Saccharomyces cerevisiae S288C: one gene and its partners. The protein of the gene in region 1 binds, or shares a complex with, the protein of each later gene. Each region holds a gene or a part of one and is shown on either strand. Other genes may lie near its edges. A codon is read from its position in the direction of its gene.

Region 1 (7,956 bases):
ACCGCAACCGTAAGCGACTAATTGACCACCAGTCAACCATAAGGAATTGATGACAGTTAGTCTCCCTCTGATCATTTTGGGAGCAATTTCACTGATGAAAAGTGGCGCGATCAAGGAGCCGATACCGACACCGAAACCCATGATCAGTCTACCAACAGCCATTTGCCAGAATGTGTGTGCGGAGACCTGTAAGATTGCGCCAATGACAAACATCAGATTCGAACCCATTAAACAACGTTTCCTACCAAATATGTCAGCTGCAGTACCGGCGAAAATACTGGTAATCAAAGCTCCCAGAGAGGTAGCCGCAGTGACAATTTCCTTCTCCCCATAAGTAAGTACCTTGTGGTCCAGATCTGTGCCGATCGAGATCAGCGCACTGGATATATAACCAGTGTCGTAACCAAACATGAAACCGGATATGGATGCGACAAAAGTCAGAGTGATGATGAAGGGCGAAAGAGATTGGTTAAAAGTGATCATGACCGACGTGTCATCCTCGTCGTTCACGGGTTTAATTTGAATCCTATCTTCATCATCGCTAGCGGGAGCCCTCTGTATTTCATGTGACTCAAGTGTAATTTTACCTCTCTTTGAAGGTGAGTCATGCTCACTGTTGAACTCTACACTATCAGCGTTGCCAACGGCATCACCAACATTTGATTGCGATGTCTTTGACGTGAGATATGGTATGTGTATTCCCATTTTAACACCCACTGCAGAAACAAAGAAAATGAAAGAGATGTATACAGTAGGACGACCAATAAATCTGAATAGCGCACCAAACTGAAAGAGAAGAATAGAGCAAACACCTGCCAAAGAAAAGCCCAAGTGTGAAAGGTCTTTTCTCAACTATGGCTTGATTCCTTTTATATTTTTTCCATTTTGCAACAGCGCGTTGAGCTTGGTCGAGCTTTTTTCACATGCGGTGGGGAAGGCGTATTTAGCGCAACCAGTGGGGGGTATAAGCTATACCTAACGCATGTGAAGAGAACAGAAACAATGGTGAGAGAAAATAAATGGAGAGGATGGAGAGAACTAAGTATATGCGCTTATTATGTTATATAGATGTTAAAATTATCATAGCTCATCATGTGAGACGATCCTGTCCACGGCCTCATCGACAGCCCGCTGGATACTACTGACGGCTGATACAGATGCGAATGGTTCCACAGAGGTTGCTGAGGATGTAGTTGTAGTGGCTAGAATGGGTGCATTTAGCACAAGACTGGGTGCTTGAAGAGAGGACGAGGAGCCTGCATAGCTTTTAACTAGACCTAGGGTGACGAGTATACCCTTGAAAAACTTGAATAGCAGCCAGAGGCCGAGTTTAACAGGTAACTTGAAAATACGACGCCATAGAACCCACGAGACGCAGCATAGGAGGAACCCAAGTGATAAATAGACATCTCGTTTCTCTTGATGGGAGGCATTTTCCAGTACTTTGACCAAATCGGCAGTTTTCTTGAAGACGGTTTCGAATTGAGTGTACTTGTCATCGATTTGTGTTAAGGAATTGGTTTGGGCTCTCAATTCATCCAAATTCAGGTCACTTTGTAAAATTCCGGACTGCAAAATTTGATTTCCTCTCACCAAGTTATTCGTCAGTTGTTTTGTTTTGCTCAAAAGCTTCTCTCTAGTGCTGGCTTTTTCCATCGATGTGGACGTTAAGCTTGACGATGACGACGTTCCTTGGTGAAGCTTGTCGTAATCCACAGCGTGAAATTTTATAGCGCGGTCTCTTTTCTCGTCGTTCCAAGCTAAGTCACGTTTGTGGTGTTGTCGTAGAATCTCTTTGACTTTCAGGCGGTAGCAATAGAACCAATCGACGAATTGCAACACGAAATCCAGTTCTTCGACCAACTGAGCATATATGTCCTCGTTCATTTGTTTATCAAGCTTCACAATATGCAACTTATCGCATTGATCGTATCTAGGGCTTTTTTCCCACTGTAATTTTAATTCGGGGTATTTGTAGGTCATTTCCACAATACTACATTTCAGTACCGATTCGAAATCTGAAACTTTGCTCTCTATAATATTCACCAAATCCTCAAATTCAATCTCTTCTTCTTCATCATTGTGTTCGTTGGCAATGGCTGCAAAACTGTCCTTATTATCATGCTTGCTTTCTCCGCTTTCTTTTCTGCGGGAGATTGCACTTAATTTTTGCAAATTATTTAATAATGCATCTTGCAAAACTTCCAGGTCCTGCAAAAATGTCACGACCATAATCTTTAATGGCTTTATAGTTTGTTATGCGCCTTGGCAGCGTGATCCGATCTTACTTGTTAACTGTATATCAGGTATTTCTGTTGGCATTTTTACAACTGCGAATGTATTTTTCATTATTTAGTAACAATTCTATTTACCCGGACAGCGTGTGCAGGTGATTTATTGATAAAGTCACTGGTAAAGACGTGCTTTCTTTAGTGTGGGATTAGATTTACCACTTGTTTTGAGATTAGGAAAATTCCAACGTTTGCTAAAGGTGCAAACGAAGCTGTTTTGTTGCTTTTCTTTTCTTTATGTAATTGTATTTACCATGATCCTCTTTGGTGCGGCGCTAACAATAGAAAAAAATACACACACATTAGATTGGAATTAGAGCTTAAGTGGTACAAACTAGGGCTAATAAAGAGGTAACGGTCGGTTCTCTACTAAGGTTCGTATTGTGTGGCACCGATGTTAAGCACTTTTAAGCGGAATAACTCGAGTGGAAATTTTATGTTTAGTTAGGTTTTACCTTGAATTTTTTTAAAAAAAAAAGAGTCAGACAGGCTCGCTCTTTCCTACTAAATATTAGGAGCAAAGCAGTAAAAAGTCTCTGAATAAGGATAGTAACCTGTAGTAACTCCAAAATTTATCTTACAAAGAGCTATTAGTATCTTGGTTCTTCTATTTTCTTCGATTATTGGTGATTTTTCCCGCCTCTAGCCAAATCCGAGCGTTCCATCGATTTTTTGGGGAAAACAGCACATGCAATAAAATAAAAAGCAAACAAATACGCGATAGTGCACGAAACGTCAACACAATCATCAAACTCTTTTGCATATTTCTATTATAGATGAGACGAGAAACGGTGGGTGAATTTTCTTCAGATGACGATGATGATATTCTTTTGGAATTAGGCACCAGGCCTCCAAGGTTTACTCAAATACCGCCATCATCAGCAGCATTACAAACACAAATTCCCACTACTTTGGAGGTTACAACGACCACATTAAACAATAAACAGAGTAAAAATGATAACCAACTGGTTAACCAACTGAATAAAGCTCAAGGTGAAGCAAGCATGCTTCGTGATAAAATAAACTTTTTGAACATTGAAAGGGAAAAGGAAAAGAATATTCAAGCCGTCAAAGTTAATGAATTGCAAGTCAAGCATCTTCAAGAGTTGGCTAAATTAAAACAAGAATTACAGAAACTGGAAGATGAGAAGAAGTTCTTACAGATGGAAGCGAGAGGAAAATCGAAAAGGGAAGTTATTACGAATGTAAAACCACCGTCAACAACATTATCAACAAACACAAACACTATAACGCCAGATTCGTCCTCAGTTGCAATCGAAGCAAAACCTCAATCACCACAATCAAAAAAACGTAAGATAAGTGATAATTTACTGAAAAAAAATATGGTTCCCCTAAACCCAAATAGGATTATTCCCGATGAAACGAGTTTATTTCTAGAGTCAATATTACTTCATCAAATAATAGGCGCTGACCTGAGCACAATAGAAATATTAAATAGATTGAAGCTTGACTACATCACAGAGTTTAAATTTAAGAATTTCGTCATTGCTAAAGGAGCCCCCATAGGGAAGTCCATAGTTTCTCTACTTTTGCGATGTAAAAAGACGTTGACCCTCGACAGGTTCATAGATACTTTGCTAGAGGATATAGCTGTTTTGATCAAGGAAATATCAGTTCATCCAAATGAATCGAAATTAGCTGTCCCATTTCTCGTTGCATTGATGTATCAGATTGTACAATTTCGTCCTAGTGCCACTCATAATTTAGCACTGAAGGATTGTTTTCTTTTTATTTGCGATTTAATAAGAATCTATCATCATGTATTGAAAGTACCGATACATGAATCAAATATGAATTTGCATGTAGAACCTCAGATTTTCCAATATGAACTGATAGACTATTTGATAATTTCGTATTCCTTTGATCTCCTAGAAGGTATATTAAGGGTACTGCAGTCGCATCCTAAGCAAACTTATATGGAATTTTTTGATGAAAATATTCTAAAATCATTTGAATTTGTCTACAAACTAGCACTAACCATTTCATACAAGCCAATGGTAAATGTAATATTTAGTGCAGTCGAGGTCGTTAATATTATCACTAGTATAATATTAAATATGGACAATTCCTCAGATCTGAAATCCTTGATAAGCGGTAGTTGGTGGAGAGATTGTATTACAAGATTATACGCTCTTTTGGAAAAGGAAATTAAGAGTGGCGACGTATATAATGAAAATGTGGATACTACAACTCTTCATATGTCGAAGTACCATGACTTTTTTGGGTTAATCCGAAATATAGGTGATAATGAATTGGGAGGATTGATATCAAAGCTGATTTATACTGACCGATTGCAAAGTGTCCCAAGGGTAATTTCTAAAGAGGATATTGGGATGGATAGCGACAAATTCACTGCCCCTATAATAGGTTACAAGATGGAAAAATGGCTTTTGAAGTTAAAAGATGAAGTTTTAAATATTTTTGAAAATTTATTAATGATCTATGGAGACGATGCGACCATAGTAAATGGAGAAATGCTCATCCACTCCTCTAAATTCTTATCCAGGGAGCAAGCGTTAATGATAGAAAGGTACGTGGGACAAGACTCCCCGAACTTGGACCTCAGATGCCATCTTATTGAACATACTTTAACCATAATATATAGGCTATGGAAAGACCATTTCAAACAATTGCGTGAAGAACAAATCAAGCAGGTAGAAAGCCAATTGATTATGTCACTATGGAGGTTTCTCGTATGCCAAACCGAAACTGTGACAGCAAACGAAAGAGAAATGAGAGATCATCGACACCTTGTAGATAGTTTGCATGATCTGACGATAAAGGATCAAGCCTCTTATTACGAAGATGCCTTTGAGGATTTACCAGAATATATCGAAGAAGAATTGAAGATGCAATTGAATAAAAGAACGGGGAGAATAATGCAAGTAAAGTACGATGAGAAATTTCAAGAAATGGCAAGAACTATTCTTGAGTCAAAATCATTCGATCTAACCACACTAGAGGAGGCCGATTCATTATATATCTCAATGGGACTGTAAGGCAACAATCAAAAGGGGAAAATGTCAACGCTTTATAGAAACCTTGTAATGCTTAATATTAACTATATATAATTTATATTATTTTCGTTTTAGGAAAGAACAAAACTTATAGATAATATCAAATTTAAGCAGAAGTAGCCTTAGCAGAACCGGTTTGGAAACCGTTCTTAAATCTTCTGGAGACATGCTTCAAATATCTCATTCTACCGGTACCAGTAGTGTGTCTTCTCTTTGCCTTGGCAGCCCAGTTGTGAGATCTAGTCTTAGCGGATGGGTAACCACAAGAGGAACAGGTCTTCTTTTGAACATGGAAAGAACGACGACCACATCTGTTACACAAGGTGTGAGATTTGTTGTGACGCTTACCGAATGAAGGAGTACCCTCTGTTTAAAATGAAAACATAAAAGTTAATTATCGTTAGTAAAACTTTGAACTAAATAAACTCTACTGCTGGATTCAGAACAACTTCATTGGCGGTCTAGATGTGTGTTGCTGTCTTACACTATTTCTTCTCACCTTTTTGTATTGACACTCAAATCTTTTTATTCGCTCTTTATGCATCCGTTATGTGCAATTTCTTATCATCAATGGCTCTGGCAACATTCATCATTCTATATTTTTAAATCTTTTGGCATAGTGAATAACGTAGGTCTTAGTTTACCTGGCCTCTCCTGGTGGAAAATTTTTTCAGTGCTTCTTTCTCATGTAATCCTCTAAATCAGACCGGATGTGATTGAACGTTGACTCATCAATTAATAATTCCTGTACATACTACCCATCTTTACTTATATATTCGTTTACCTCTTTGTTCTTTATCTACACATAGTAGTGCTTTTTGTTACCGCTTTCTATAGTAACCTATGCTTACTATTCCAGCCATGTTTCCAATCTCATCCTTCCCGCAAGTGGCAGGAAGATTCTCAGTGATAATATTAGTGGTGTACGGAGTGCTTGAAGAAAAAAAAAACTGATATAGAACCCAAAAATGTTCGGCTTTTAAAATACAAATATGTACAGGTGTTAATGTCTAAATAATGATAATCCAAACGCGATAATTTTTTTTTCGCGTTTGTTTTTGTTTCAGAAGAATAAGTAAACACTTCTGCCTCTCCCAAGAAAGTTTAATTTCTCTCCTTATTTGCCGTTTCTATCGTTACTAGCAACGGGGAACAATATATAGAAGCGTTTTTTTTTTTGGTATACTATTTACACAATATTTGCCGATTTCATTAGTCTTTTCGCTAGAAGTTTCACGACAAAATCGTCACAATTTTGGTTATGTCCCATCTCTTCCCACCATCATCACCAGTTGCTGGTAAACCTTTGGAAAGCCCACAAAAAGAACCTGGTAAGCTTGCTAATACTTCTGTATTGACCTTAGGAAGAAAACGGTATAATTACGAATTGGAAGAGTATCCTACTCCAGACCCGTCGTCTAGCATCGGAAGACAATCTTCACCAGTGAAAGATATCACTTCACGTTTAAATGAGACCAAATCTGCCTTGTCATCTCCTTCAAAGCAAGAAAAGGTGCTTGCAGGCCCTATCGAGATTGAATTAGATGCATCGGATCCCTCACGTTTAGCCATCGGTAGGAAAAAATCAGTCTGCAACATTATTTTGCCATGCAGAAAGAATATCTCTAGGCAGCACGCTTTTATTTCATACGCCGCCGACAGAAATGAAATAAAATTGGAATGTAATGGAACTAATGGGTTGTCCGTTCACTTGCCTTACTCCATGCAGTTGCATTTGGTAAAACCCTTCCCAACAAGGAACTTTTATAAACTAGTGGCAGAAGAGCCTTTGACCTCGCAAAATACTAAACAATCGCATGGAAAAACTCTTCAAAAGAACCAAAACTTCATCAGCTTTGTTTTGGCTAAAGGTGAAACTGTTACTTTCCCCTATATCCAAGGAAGTTTCATAAATTTTACAGGCGTCACAGTCTGTCTTTCATTGAAAAAAGTAGCACCTTATCCTGGCGATGGCAACAATAACTTTGACGAAGAGAACTCGACAGAAACGGAGGATGAGTTGTGTTTATTAACAACAACGAGCGATGATTTTTCTTGGCAAAAAGAAACACCTTCGATGAAATTTGTCCCAGTTGAGCATTCACCTCGTACAGAACAGATCTCAAAACCATTACTTATTGCATCTCCTGCTCTTGTGAAAAACTCCCCCATTAGTTATAGAACAACACCCCAAACATCTTTCGTTATTAATCAGCCATCAACTCCAAAGAAACTGAAGCGTAAATCAATTTCATTGAAAAATAACACTATACAAGAGACACCACTTCCTAAAGATAAAATAATTGGGACATTAAGTGCCAGTACTAGGAGTGGTGGCATTAATGAAGAAGAATCTTTCGCAGCAGTTGCAAAAAAAACTAAAGAGCTGTCTTCTACAACCGCGATTGTATCTCCTGCACAAAAACGTCTTAAGACTTCATTGAATATTATTCCCGAAATTTCTCGGTCGCTCTCAGAAAGAGGAATTCGGTTTGATGACCTAGTTCATGTGCTATGTAATCATCTTGCATTTTCTAACCTTCAACAAACGCCTTTATCCCAATTGCAAAACATCAATTCCAACACTTCACAATTAAGCAAAGATGAACTAAAAAAGGTCTTGGAGA
Region 2 (4,229 bases), on another chromosome or scaffold:
AGAAATAGTCATCTAAATTAGTGGAAGCTGAAACGCAAGGATTGATAATGTAATAGGATCAATGAATATAAACATATAAAACGGAATGAGGAATAATCGTAATATTAGTATGTAGAAATATAGATTCCATTTTGAGGATTCCTATATCCTCGAGGAGAACTTCTAGTATATTCTGTATACCTAATATTATAGCCTTTATCAACAATGGAATCCCAACAATTATCTCAACATTCACCCATTTCTCAGAACCAACTATCTTCGATCAATTTGTATTAAAACTGCTAGCATATTATCATATATGATGTAAAAAGACGACATAAAGGTCGAGTAACAATCATCCGATATAACGGAAGCTGAAATCCGAGGATCGATAATATAGCATAATTACTTGTATGAACGATGCTAAAATATTTGTTCCTTCACATCTACACGTGGAAGTAAATGAACTGGATGTCAACAGTTTAGAAGAGCTTTTTTTTCGGTTCTGGTAAACATTCAATAAACTGTTTTGCTCCCACTAAATATAAATAAACATAATTATATGTCTAGTGATAAACAACTACTTTCCCGCTGAATGCATCAAAATATCAATGCAAATTTAAAAATTGTATTACACATATGTATGCTTCTGAAAAACCTTATAAATACATAAATTCTGAGAAAATAATTATACATGACTGATTCCCAGCTTAACCAAATCCAGCCCATTCTATTGAGAAGAAATGAGTTTCCTTTGTCTCTTCCGCAACACCGCCTATGACCCAAAGTTTTTTCACAGTCGTTCCTAGTCTTGCACCACTTATCATGGATATTAGGTCAATCGGCTCATTATGATAATCAATCGCATCTTGTATCGTCAGATGTGAATGGAAACGAAGAGGATCACCAGGGTATGCTATAAACTTCCCACCAAAACGTCCACCTGGGGACAAAACGTACCCTTGATCTCTCAATGCCTTGTATAAGAAATAGGTCTGCATTTTTCCTGCCTGTCTGTACTGCTTAAATAACAAATCACTGATATCATCGCGGGATAAGCTGTCTGAATCACTCCGTATGTCTCTTAAAATCATAGAGGTATTAGCAATGTCAATGAACAAAGAAGATTCAATTAGCTGGTCATTATTGCTAGATTTATCAAGCCGTTGCAATTCTTCAGCTGTGGTTTTATCATTGATTCTACCGATTTTCTTTAATTTTGCAATGTGTTCATCCTTTTTGAACTTTCTCTGATATTCAAATGACTTGTTCAAACGATCGTTGACAATTTTAGATAGTTTGGCGCCCCGCTCTAATGTTATTCCCTCCATAATCTCATCTCCCTCTTGTCTTATTAATTTCACATCGGCAAGATTGTTCAAATGCAGCCACAGCACATCTTCTAACATAAGCCTCAAAGGTACCGACAAAAATACATTTTGCTGTGCTGCAGTAGGCAAAGTTCCAGATAACACACCACAAATACCCCATTTCCTTAGAAGTTTGATGTGATCTATGTCAAATACTAGCGGTGGCATAAAAACCTCCTCGCCTTTTGCCGTTCTTTTTGCATATATGTTAATAGCTATGCGCGTACCACCTTCTTCAGCCATATACGAAAGGATCTATGCTAATTGGGTGGATTTCTTATCGCATCACTTTCTTATTCTCTAACTCTTCTTCGCTGCTCAATAAAATATCTCTGCTTGGAAAAATGTCACGCGTAAAAATTAGACGAGGCGACAAAAGACGCGTGAACTAACATAAAGGTTTACTTGAACAAATGTTATCACTTTAAGTTCTACACGTAAAACAAAAACTATTCACTCTTCTTATTACGGTAAAGGCGAAACCAGCAAGAAGACCAGATTATACTTACAAGAGATGAGCAGTGTTCAACTTTCGAGGGGCGATTTTCATAGCATCTTCACCAATAAGCAAAGGTACGATAATCCCACCGGTGGCGTTTATCAAGTTTATAACACCAGGAAATCTGATGGGGCTAACAGCAACAGAAAGAATTTGATCATGATTTCCGATGGTATTTACCATATGAAGGCTCTGTTGAGAAACCAAGCTGCATCCAAGTTCCAGTCAATGGAACTACAAAGGGGTGATATCATTCGCGTGATAATTGCAGAACCTGCTATTGTCAGGGAAAGAAAGAAATACGTTCTTTTAGTAGATGACTTTGAGTTGGTCCAGTCGCGTGCTGATATGGTCAACCAAACTAGTACTTTTTTGGATAACTATTTCTCAGAGCATCCAAATGAAACCTTAAAAGACGAAGATATAACTGACAGTGGTAATGTTGCCAATCAAACAAACGCCAGCAATGCTGGTGTCCCTGATATGCTGCATTCAAACTCAAACTTGAATGCAAATGAGAGAAAATTCGCCAATGAAAACCCTAATTCGCAAAAAACCAGACCAATTTTTGCCATCGAACAACTGTCTCCATACCAAAACGTTTGGACTATCAAAGCAAGAGTTTCCTACAAGGGAGAAATTAAAACGTGGCACAATCAAAGAGGTGATGGTAAACTATTCAATGTCAACTTCTTGGATACCTCTGGAGAAATCCGAGCCACGGCGTTTAATGATTTTGCTACAAAATTTAACGAAATTTTACAAGAAGGCAAAGTATACTATGTATCAAAGGCAAAACTCCAACCAGCTAAGCCCCAATTTACTAATCTAACACACCCTTATGAACTGAATTTGGATAGAGACACTGTTATAGAAGAATGTTTCGATGAAAGTAATGTTCCGAAAACCCATTTCAATTTCATCAAACTAGATGCTATTCAGAACCAGGAAGTAAATTCCAACGTAGACGTCCTCGGTATTATCCAAACTATAAACCCACATTTTGAGCTAACTTCAAGGGCTGGGAAGAAATTCGATCGTCGTGACATCACAATTGTTGACGACTCTGGGTTTTCTATCTCTGTTGGCCTATGGAATCAGCAAGCCCTTGATTTCAACCTTCCTGAAGGTTCTGTTGCTGCCATTAAAGGTGTTCGTGTGACGGATTTTGGTGGCAAATCTTTGTCTATGGGATTTTCTAGTACCCTGATTCCGAATCCAGAAATTCCTGAGGCATATGCCTTAAAGGGTTGGTATGATTCCAAGGGCCGCAACGCAAACTTCATCACTTTAAAGCAAGAACCCGGTATGGGTGGTCAATCGGCTGCTAGCTTAACAAAATTCATTGCTCAGCGTATTACTATTGCTAGAGCTCAAGCTGAAAATCTAGGAAGAAGCGAGAAAGGTGACTTTTTTAGTGTTAAAGCTGCTATAAGTTTCTTAAAAGTTGATAATTTTGCATATCCTGCCTGTTCTAATGAGAATTGTAATAAGAAAGTTCTGGAACAGCCTGATGGTACTTGGAGATGTGAGAAGTGCGACACCAATAATGCAAGGCCAAATTGGAGATACATCTTGACAATATCAATTATTGACGAAACCAATCAACTATGGCTCACTTTATTTGACGACCAAGCTAAACAATTATTGGGTGTTGATGCTAATACATTAATGTCTTTGAAGGAAGAAGACCCCAACGAATTCACAAAAATTACTCAAAGTATCCAAATGAACGAATATGACTTTAGGATTAGAGCGCGTGAGGATACATACAATGATCAAAGCAGAATTAGATATACCGTTGCTAACCTACACAGCTTGAATTACAGGGCTGAAGCCGACTATCTTGCCGATGAGTTATCCAAGGCTTTGTTAGCTTAATGTATCAAATAATCAAGTACTATTTAATCTATGTAACATATGAGAAATGTAAAAAAAAAACTTCTATTTCGTCAAGTTTTTGAAGGGCGGTTCAGCATCTCTTGATGACTGGATATGAAACTACACGTTCAGTCATATGAATTTGAACCCATAATGCACAAATGAATAAAAATGCTAACAAATTCTAATTAATGGCATGGTACTAACACCCAACAATTTACCGCCCTTTAGGTGTACAGCTTCAAATAACAAAGCTTTACAAATTCACCTTCAACATTTACGTTCAGTAGTATGAAATTACCATCATGACGTGCTCCTATCAAAGTGAGATTATTGCACTTCGTATTATTAGGAAATTACCAAAAAATGCAAAATTTTTCAATTCTGTGTCAAAGAAATCGCGGTAGGCATGACTATACCTCTTCAGTGTCAGTTGCCTATTTAAACTTTCTCCTTTTGAAGAGAAACCTATGATGACTGCATCTTAATTATCCTCGTAT
Region 3 (7,501 bases), on another chromosome or scaffold:
AATCATAGTTACTAGGCAGTTCTGGTGAATGACTAGAGACATTTTCTAGGAAACGTGACTTTTTGCTGTGCTGTTTATGATTAAAGCCTGGTTTGACACCAACAAATACGTTGCTATGCATATGCAAACTGAACCCTTTGTATATATAAAAATTATATGTATAAAAGAAGAGGAACGTCCGCACAATTCCACACACACACACACACACACGCTTTCACACACGCAATTTGAAATAGCTCCTATAGGGCTTGGGAATAGGATCACAAGTCACTCGAAATATACCATTTTTTCTATCACACATACACATTGTATAAAGCCATTTGTTTCAAAAAAATATAAAAACACTGCGCAGCGTGCTGTTTCGGGTTCCATTTGTGATTGTTTATTTTTCTTTTGGTTTAGCTCAGTGCAAAACGAGGGCTCGAAGAATTTTCAGATAAAACAGTACTCGAGCCCTGAGATCTGTTTTAGGGTCTAAAAGGCGGGTTATAAAAATATGTCAGGTGATTTTTTTTTCTCGTGGTATGAGATAAATAAAGAATGGAGCTTTTATGCATGAAAGGACAGCGGATGGCAGTAGAGCAGACATCAGTAGCATTCATTACAACTCTGTCGTAAGTTCTTGGAACTGCTGGCCGCGTTGGATACAACTAGATTGACACGCACTTACTCTCGTCTTACAGTACTATGTACCATCACTATCACGCCTTCCAAGGCAGAAAGCTTACTGACCAAGAAAGAGCACGCGTGTTGGAGTTTCAAGATTCCATTCACTATTCTCCGCGGTACTCAGACGATAACTATGAGTACAGGCATGTGATGTTACCTAAGGCCATGCTAAAAGTTATCCCATCTGATTACTTCAATTCGGAAGTGGGGACCCTGCGTATATTAACAGAAGACGAATGGAGAGGCCTCGGCATCACACAGTCTTTGGGGTGGGAACATTATGAATGCCATGCGCCAGAACCACACATTTTGCTATTCAAAAGGCCGCTGAACTACGAGGCCGAGCTGAGGGCAGCGACCGCTGCTGCTCAACAGCAACAGCAACAGCAGCAACAGCAGCAACAACAACAACAGCAACATCAAACACAATCGATTTCGAACGATATGCAAGTTCCACCCCAAATCTCCTAGCTTTGATATACTCTAATTACTGAAATTGAATTCCTTTTCAAGGCTCCATAACTATATGGAGCATACTATGTACTTATCATAATAAAGAATAAACAAACAAGCAAACAAAAAAAAAAAAAACTATGGATCATAGTTTTCACCAACAAGCATTAGAATACAAATAAAATTTATATAGTGAATATCCTTCAAATAAATTTCTTCTTTCCCTTATAAATCAAATAGATGGAACGCACGCTCCAAAACTAGTCAACTAGAAAAAAATACCCGCCGACGGACAATTTTGAAGAGAGATGATTAATGAAGACAAAGTGAGGCTGGACAACAAGAACGACATACACCGCGTAAAGGCCCACAAGACTGCATGGAATCACACGTCAAATATCTTGACGAATTGATATTGGCAATAAAAGACCTGAACTCGGGGGTGGATTCAAAGGTGCAGATTAAAAAAGTGCCCACGGATCCATCTTCTTCTCAGGAGTACGCCAAGAGTTTAAAGATCCTGAACACCCTCATAAGAAACCTAAAAGATCAAAGAAGGAACAATATCATGAAAAATGATACTATATTTTCGAAAACAGTTTCCGCCCTTGCCTTATTGTTGGAGTACAACCCCTTCTTGCTTGTTATGAAGGATTCCAACGGGAACTTTGAGATACAAAGGCTGATAGATGATTTCCTCAACATATCCGTTCTGAACTATGATAATTACCACAGAATATGGTTTATGAGGCGAAAATTAGGCAGCTGGTGCAAAGCATGTGTCGAATTTTACGGAAAACCTGCTAAGTTTCAGCTTACTGCACATTTTGAGAACACCATGAATCTTTACGAACAGGCCTTGACTGAAGTCTTGTTGGGCAAGACTGAGCTTCTCAAATTTTATGACACCTTGAAGGGTCTATACATTCTTTTATACTGGTTCACTTCGGAGTATAGTACTTTTGGGAACTCTATAGCATTCTTAGATTCTTCTTTGGGGTTCACGAAATTTGACTTTAACTTCCAACGATTAATCAGGATTGTTCTTTACGTCTTTGATTCCTGCGAACTAGCAGCACTAGAATATGCCGAAATCCAACTCAAATATATTTCTCTAGTTGTGGACTATGTTTGCAATAGAACAATTTCCACAGCCCTGGATGCCCCAGCGTTAGTTTGTTGTGAACAATTAAAGTTTGTATTGACTACTATGCATCATTTTTTGGATAACAAGTATGGGCTCTTGGATAATGACCCCACTATGGCCAAAGGAATTCTTCGACTATATTCTCTTTGCATTTCTAACGATTTCTCAAAATGCTTTGTAGACCACTTCCCAATTGACCAGTGGGCAGATTTTTCACAAAGTGAACATTTTCCGTTCACGCAGTTGACTAATAAAGCTCTCTCGATTGTATATTTTGATTTGAAAAGAAGGTCCCTACCTGTTGAAGCTTTAAAGTACGATAATAAGTTCAACATCTGGGTATACCAATCGGAGCCGGACTCGAGCTTGAAAAATGTCACTTCTCCCTTTGATGATCGATATAAGCAGCTGGAAAAGCTAAGGTTGCTAGTACTAAAGAAGTTTAACAAGACAGAAAGAGGAACTTTGCTCAAATACCGCGTGAACCAGCTAAGTCCTGGATTTTTTCAAAGAGCTGGAAACGATTTCAAGCTAATTTTAAATGAAGCATCTGTATCCATTCAAACTTGTTTCAAGACAAACAATATAACAAGGCTAACATCATGGACTGTAATTCTCGGACGTCTAGCCTGTCTAGAATCAGAGAAGTTTTCCGGCACTCTGCCAAATTCCACAAAGGATATGGATAATTGGTATGTTTGTCATTTATGCGATATTGAGAAAACTGGCAACCCTTTCGTGCGAATAAATCCAAATAGACCAGAGGCTGCGGGTAAATCAGAAATCTTCAGGATACTTCATTCAAACTTTCTATCTCACCCAAATATAGATGAATTTAGCGAATCTTTGTTAAGTGGCATCTTATTTTCTCTACATAGGATATTTTCACACTTTCAACCTCCAAAACTTACAGATGGAAACGGTCAAATCAATAAGAGCTTTAAACTGGTACAAAAGTGCTTTATGAATTCTAACAGATACCTACGTTTATTAAGTACTAGAATTATACCTTTATTCAATATATCAGACTCTCATAATTCCGAAGATGAACACACTGCCACGCTGATAAAGTTTCTACAATCTCAAAAATTGCCAGTGGTGAAAGAAAATTTAGTCATTGCTTGGACACAATTAACATTGACGACTTCTAATGATGTATTTGATACACTACTTTTGAAACTGATTGATATTTTCAATTCTGATGATTATAGTTTACGAATAATGATGACTTTGCAAATTAAAAATATGGCCAAAATTTTAAAGAAAACACCATATCAATTACTATCGCCTATTTTACCTGTATTACTAAGACAGTTGGGAAAAAACCTCGTGGAAAGAAAAGTTGGCTTTCAAAATTTAATAGAATTATTGGGATATTCTTCAAAAACAATTCTCGATATTTTCCAGAGATATATCATCCCTTATGCAATTATTCAATATAAGAGCGATGTGCTAAGTGAAATTGCTAAGATTATGTGTGATGGCGATACAAGTTTAATTAACCAAATGAAGGTTAATTTACTGAAAAAAAACAGTAGGCAAATATTTGCCGTAGCTTTGGTAAAACACGGATTATTTTCTTTGGATATCTTGGAAACCCTTTTTTTAAATAGGGCTCCAACTTTTGACAAAGGATATATAACTGCATACCTTCCCGATTATAAAACTTTAGCTGAAATAACGAAGCTCTACAAAAACAGCGTTACTAAAGATGCAAGTGACAGCGAGAATGCTAATATGATTTTATGCTCTTTGCGATTTTTAATCACCAATTTTGAAAAAGACAAAAGGCATGGTTCGAAGTACAAAAATATCAATAACTGGACGGATGATCAGGAACAAGCGTTCCAAAAGAAACTACAGGATAATATCTTAGGTATTTTCCAAGTTTTTTCGAGTGACATACATGATGTTGAAGGCCGCACCACTTACTACGAAAAGTTAAGGGTTATCAATGGCATTTCTTTTCTTATCATATATGCCCCCAAAAAATCAATAATTTCCGCATTAGCCCAGATTAGTATTTGTTTGCAAACAGGACTTGGGCTTAAGGAAGTTCGATACGAGGCCTTTAGATGTTGGCATCTGTTAGTTCGCCATCTAAATGATGAAGAACTCTCTACTGTTATAGATAGCTTAATTGCATTCATACTTCAAAAGTGGTCTGAGTTCAACGGAAAACTTCGAAATATAGTGTACAGTATACTGGATACCTTAATCAAAGAGAAATCGGACCTGATTTTGAAATTAAAACCTTACACTACTTTGGCTTTAGTAGGCAAGCCTGAATTAGGTATTTTAGCTCGTGATGGCCAATTTGCAAGAATGGTGAATAAAATAAGAAGTACCACGGACCTTATACCCATATTTGCTAATAACTTGAAAAGTAGTAACAAGTATGTCATAAACCAAAATTTAGACGATATAGAGGTATATCTTCGGAGAAAGCAGACAGAAAGATCGATTGATTTTACACCAAAGAAGGTTGGGCAAACTTCTGATATAACATTAGTTTTGGGTGCTTTATTAGACACTTCTCATAAGTTTAGAAATTTAGACAAGGACCTATGCGAGAAGTGCGCCAAATGTATCAGTATGATTGGTGTTTTAGACGTTACAAAGCATGAGTTTAAAAGAACAACATATTCAGAAAACGAAGTTTATGATTTGAATGATAGTGTTCAAACTATTAAGTTCTTGATATGGGTCATAAATGATATCCTCGTTCCTGCGTTTTGGCAAAGTGAGAATCCCAGCAAGCAATTGTTTGTTGCCCTTGTCATACAGGAATCATTAAAATATTGCGGGCTAAGTTCAGAGTCATGGGATATGAACCATAAAGAATTATATCCAAATGAAGCCAAACTATGGGAAAAGTTTAACTCTGTCTCCAAGACAACCATCTATCCGCTTTTATCTTCCTTGTATCTTGCGCAATCATGGAAAGAATATGTCCCGCTAAAATATCCTTCTAATAACTTCAAGGAAGGATACAAAATTTGGGTGAAAAGGTTTACATTGGATTTATTGAAAACAGGTACAACAGAAAATCATCCATTACACGTGTTTTCCTCTTTGATTAGGGAAGATGATGGCTCACTATCAAATTTTTTGCTACCTTATATTTCTCTGGACATTATTATCAAGGCAGAAAAAGGAACTCCATACGCTGATATTTTAAACGGGATTATTATTGAATTTGACAGCATTTTCACGTGCAATCTGGAAGGAATGAATAACTTGCAAGTGGATTCGTTAAGAATGTGCTATGAATCCATCTTCAGAGTTTTCGAATATTGCAAAAAATGGGCAACTGAGTTTAAACAAAATTACAGTAAACTACACGGCACTTTTATCATTAAAGATACGAAAACAACTAACATGCTTTTGAGAATAGATGAGTTTTTGCGAACAACCCCTTCAGATTTGCTAGCTCAACGCTCCTTAGAGACGGATTCTTTTGAAAGGTCTGCTCTATACCTTGAACAGTGCTATCGACAGAATCCTCACGATAAGAACCAAAATGGACAACTACTGAAAAATTTACAAATCACATACGAAGAAATAGGAGACATTGACTCACTCGATGGTGTACTGAGAACCTTTGCTACAGGAAACTTGGTTTCTAAAATTGAAGAATTGCAATATTCTGAAAACTGGAAACTCGCACAAGACTGCTTTAATGTCCTCGGCAAATTTTCAGATGACCCCAAAACTACAACCAGGATGCTAAAGTCTATGTATGACCACCAATTGTATTCTCAAATAATATCGAACTCTTCGTTCCATTCTTCAGACGGAAAAATTTCTTTGTCTCCAGATGTGAAGGAATGGTACAGCATAGGTCTTGAAGCTGCAAATCTAGAAGGCAATGTTCAAACTTTGAAAAATTGGGTAGAACAAATAGAGAGTTTAAGAAATATTGACGATAGAGAAGTACTTTTGCAGTACAATATTGCGAAAGCTTTAATTGCCATCTCAAACGAGGATCCATTAAGGACTCAAAAATACATCCACAATTCCTTTAGGCTTATCGGAACAAATTTTATAACGTCATCTAAAGAGACGACGCTGCTAAAGAAACAGAATTTATTGATGAAATTACACAGTTTATATGACCTCAGTTTTTTATCTTCTGCGAAAGATAAGTTTGAATACAAAAGTAACACTACCATACTCGATTATCGAATGGAACGTATTGGGGCTGACTTCGTGCCAAATCATTACATATTGTCAATGAGAAAGTCATTTGACCAATTGAAAATGAATGAACAAGCAGACGCTGACTTAGGAAAAACATTCTTCACTTTAGCCCAATTGGCGAGAAACAACGCTAGGCTAGATATAGCCTCCGAATCATTAATGCATTGTTTGGAAAGGCGGTTGCCTCAGGCAGAGTTGGAGTTTGCTGAAATACTATGGAAGCAAGGTGAGAATGATAGAGCCTTAAAGATAGTGCAAGAAATACATGAAAAGTATCAAGAAAATTCCTCGGTTAATGCTCGCGATCGTGCCGCCGTGCTATTAAAGTTTACTGAATGGTTAGACCTTTCGAACAATTCAGCGTCCGAACAAATTATTAAACAATATCAGGATATTTTTCAGATTGATTCTAAATGGGATAAACCATATTACTCTATTGGCTTATACTATAGTAGACTACTTGAGCGCAAAAAAGCAGAGGGTTATATTACTAATGGTCGTTTTGAGTACAGGGCAATATCTTACTTTTTATTGGCATTTGAAAAGAACACTGCTAAAGTAAGAGAAAATTTGCCCAAAGTTATCACGTTTTGGCTAGATATTGCGGCCGCATCAATTTCTGAAGCTCCTGGAAACAGAAAGGAAATGCTGAGTAAGGCTACGGAAGATATATGTAGTCATGTTGAAGAAGCGCTGCAGCATTGTCCCACTTATATTTGGTACTTTGTTTTGACTCAGTTGTTATCTAGGTTATTACATTCTCATCAATCATCGGCCCAGATAATAATGCACATACTGCTAAGTTTGGCTGTTGAATACCCCTCTCATATTTTATGGTATATCACAGCCCTTGTAAATTCCAATTCTTCAAAAAGAGTTCTTCGTGGTAAGCATATTTTAGAAAAGTATAGACAACATTCGCAAAATCCTCATGATCTAGTTTCTAGTGCATTGGATTTAACGAAAGCATTAACTCGTGTCTGTTTGCAAGATGTCAAAAGCATTACAAGTAGATCAGGCAAATCTTTA

Evidence for each region.
Region 2: the proteins of LCD1 (region 1) and RFA1 are in contact, whole or in part, in a crystal structure (PDB 8B4J), measured with the Saccharomyces cerevisiae proteins. Residues at the interface, in NP_010787.3 of Saccharomyces cerevisiae: Ser10 (codon at 3,095), Ser11 (codon at 3,098), Asp12 (codon at 3,101), Asp13 (codon at 3,104), Asp14 (codon at 3,107), Asp15 (codon at 3,110), Asp16 (codon at 3,113), Ile17 (codon at 3,116), Leu18 (codon at 3,119), Glu20 (codon at 3,125), Leu21 (codon at 3,128), Gly22 (codon at 3,131), Thr23 (codon at 3,134), Arg24 (codon at 3,137); in NP_009404.1 of Saccharomyces cerevisiae: Arg35 (codon at 1,966), Lys36 (codon at 1,969), Asn43 (codon at 1,990), Arg44 (codon at 1,993), Leu47 (codon at 2,002), Lys58 (codon at 2,035), Leu60 (codon at 2,041), Arg62 (codon at 2,047), Glu86 (codon at 2,119), Ala88 (codon at 2,125), Val90 (codon at 2,131), Glu92 (codon at 2,137), Arg93 (codon at 2,140), Lys95 (codon at 2,146), Val97 (codon at 2,152), Leu99 (codon at 2,158).
Region 3: the proteins of LCD1 (region 1) and MEC1 are in contact, whole or in part, in a cryo-EM structure (PDB 6Z2W), measured with the Saccharomyces cerevisiae proteins. Residues at the interface, in NP_010787.3 of Saccharomyces cerevisiae: Lys187 (codon at 3,626), Asn189 (codon at 3,632), Met190 (codon at 3,635), Val191 (codon at 3,638), Pro192 (codon at 3,641), Leu193 (codon at 3,644), Asn194 (codon at 3,647), Arg197 (codon at 3,656), Ile199 (codon at 3,662), Leu212 (codon at 3,701), Gln214 (codon at 3,707), Ile216 (codon at 3,713), Tyr233 (codon at 3,764), Gln308 (codon at 3,989), Phe309 (codon at 3,992), Arg310 (codon at 3,995), Pro311 (codon at 3,998), Asn345 (codon at 4,100), Met346 (codon at 4,103), Asn347 (codon at 4,106), Leu348 (codon at 4,109), His349 (codon at 4,112), Val350 (codon at 4,115), Glu351 (codon at 4,118), Pro352 (codon at 4,121), Ile354 (codon at 4,127), Gln356 (codon at 4,133), Tyr357 (codon at 4,136), Glu373 (codon at 4,184), Arg377 (codon at 4,196); in NP_009694.3 of Saccharomyces cerevisiae: Ser24 (codon at 1,571), Val26 (codon at 1,577), Ile28 (codon at 1,583), Asp67 (codon at 1,700), Ser71 (codon at 1,712), Glu82 (codon at 1,745), Tyr83 (codon at 1,748), Asn116 (codon at 1,847), Tyr117 (codon at 1,850), His118 (codon at 1,853), Arg119 (codon at 1,856), Trp121 (codon at 1,862), Phe122 (codon at 1,865), Arg125 (codon at 1,874), Ala133 (codon at 1,898), Glu136 (codon at 1,907), Phe137 (codon at 1,910), Tyr138 (codon at 1,913), Gly139 (codon at 1,916), Lys140 (codon at 1,919), Lys143 (codon at 1,928), Phe144 (codon at 1,931), Leu165 (codon at 1,994), Gly167 (codon at 2,000), Lys168 (codon at 2,003), Thr169 (codon at 2,006), Glu170 (codon at 2,009), Leu171 (codon at 2,012), Tyr186 (codon at 2,057), Tyr192 (codon at 2,075).

The regions. Positions count from the first base shown.
Region 1 is NC_001136.10:1,444,763-1,452,718, forward strand, and holds LCD1 (Lcd1p), read left to right. Parts: upstream 1-3,067; coding exon 3,068-5,311; downstream 5,312-7,956. Other genes in the region: myo-inositol transporter ITR1, read right to left, coding at 1-705; SEC20 (Sec20p), read right to left, coding at 1,081-2,232; 60S ribosomal protein eL37 RPL37B, read right to left, coding at 5,436-5,695, 6,085-6,091; PLM2 (Plm2p), read left to right, coding at 6,591-7,956. UniProt on the Saccharomyces cerevisiae protein: Forms a complex with the serine/threonine kinase MEC1 which activates checkpoint signaling upon genotoxic stresses.
Region 2 is NC_001133.9:156,254-160,482, reverse strand, and holds RFA1 (replication factor A subunit protein RFA1), read left to right. Parts: upstream 1-1,863; coding exon 1,864-3,729; downstream 3,730-4,229. Other genes in the region: tRNA splicing endonuclease subunit SEN34, read right to left, coding at 690-1,517; COMPASS subunit protein SWD1, read right to left, coding at 4,198-4,229. UniProt on the Saccharomyces cerevisiae protein: As part of the replication protein A (RPA/RP-A), a single-stranded DNA-binding heterotrimeric complex, may play an essential role in DNA replication, recombination and repair.
Region 3 is NC_001134.8:504,167-511,667, forward strand, and holds the start of MEC1 (protein kinase MEC1), read left to right. Parts: upstream 1-1,501; coding exon 1,502-7,501. Other genes in the region: HSL7 (protein arginine N-methyltransferase), read right to left, coding at 1-121; cyclin-dependent protein kinase regulatory subunit CKS1, read left to right, coding at 688-1,140. UniProt on the Saccharomyces cerevisiae protein: Serine/threonine protein kinase which activates checkpoint signaling upon genotoxic stresses such as ionizing radiation (IR), ultraviolet light (UV), or DNA replication stalling, thereby acting as a DNA damage sensor.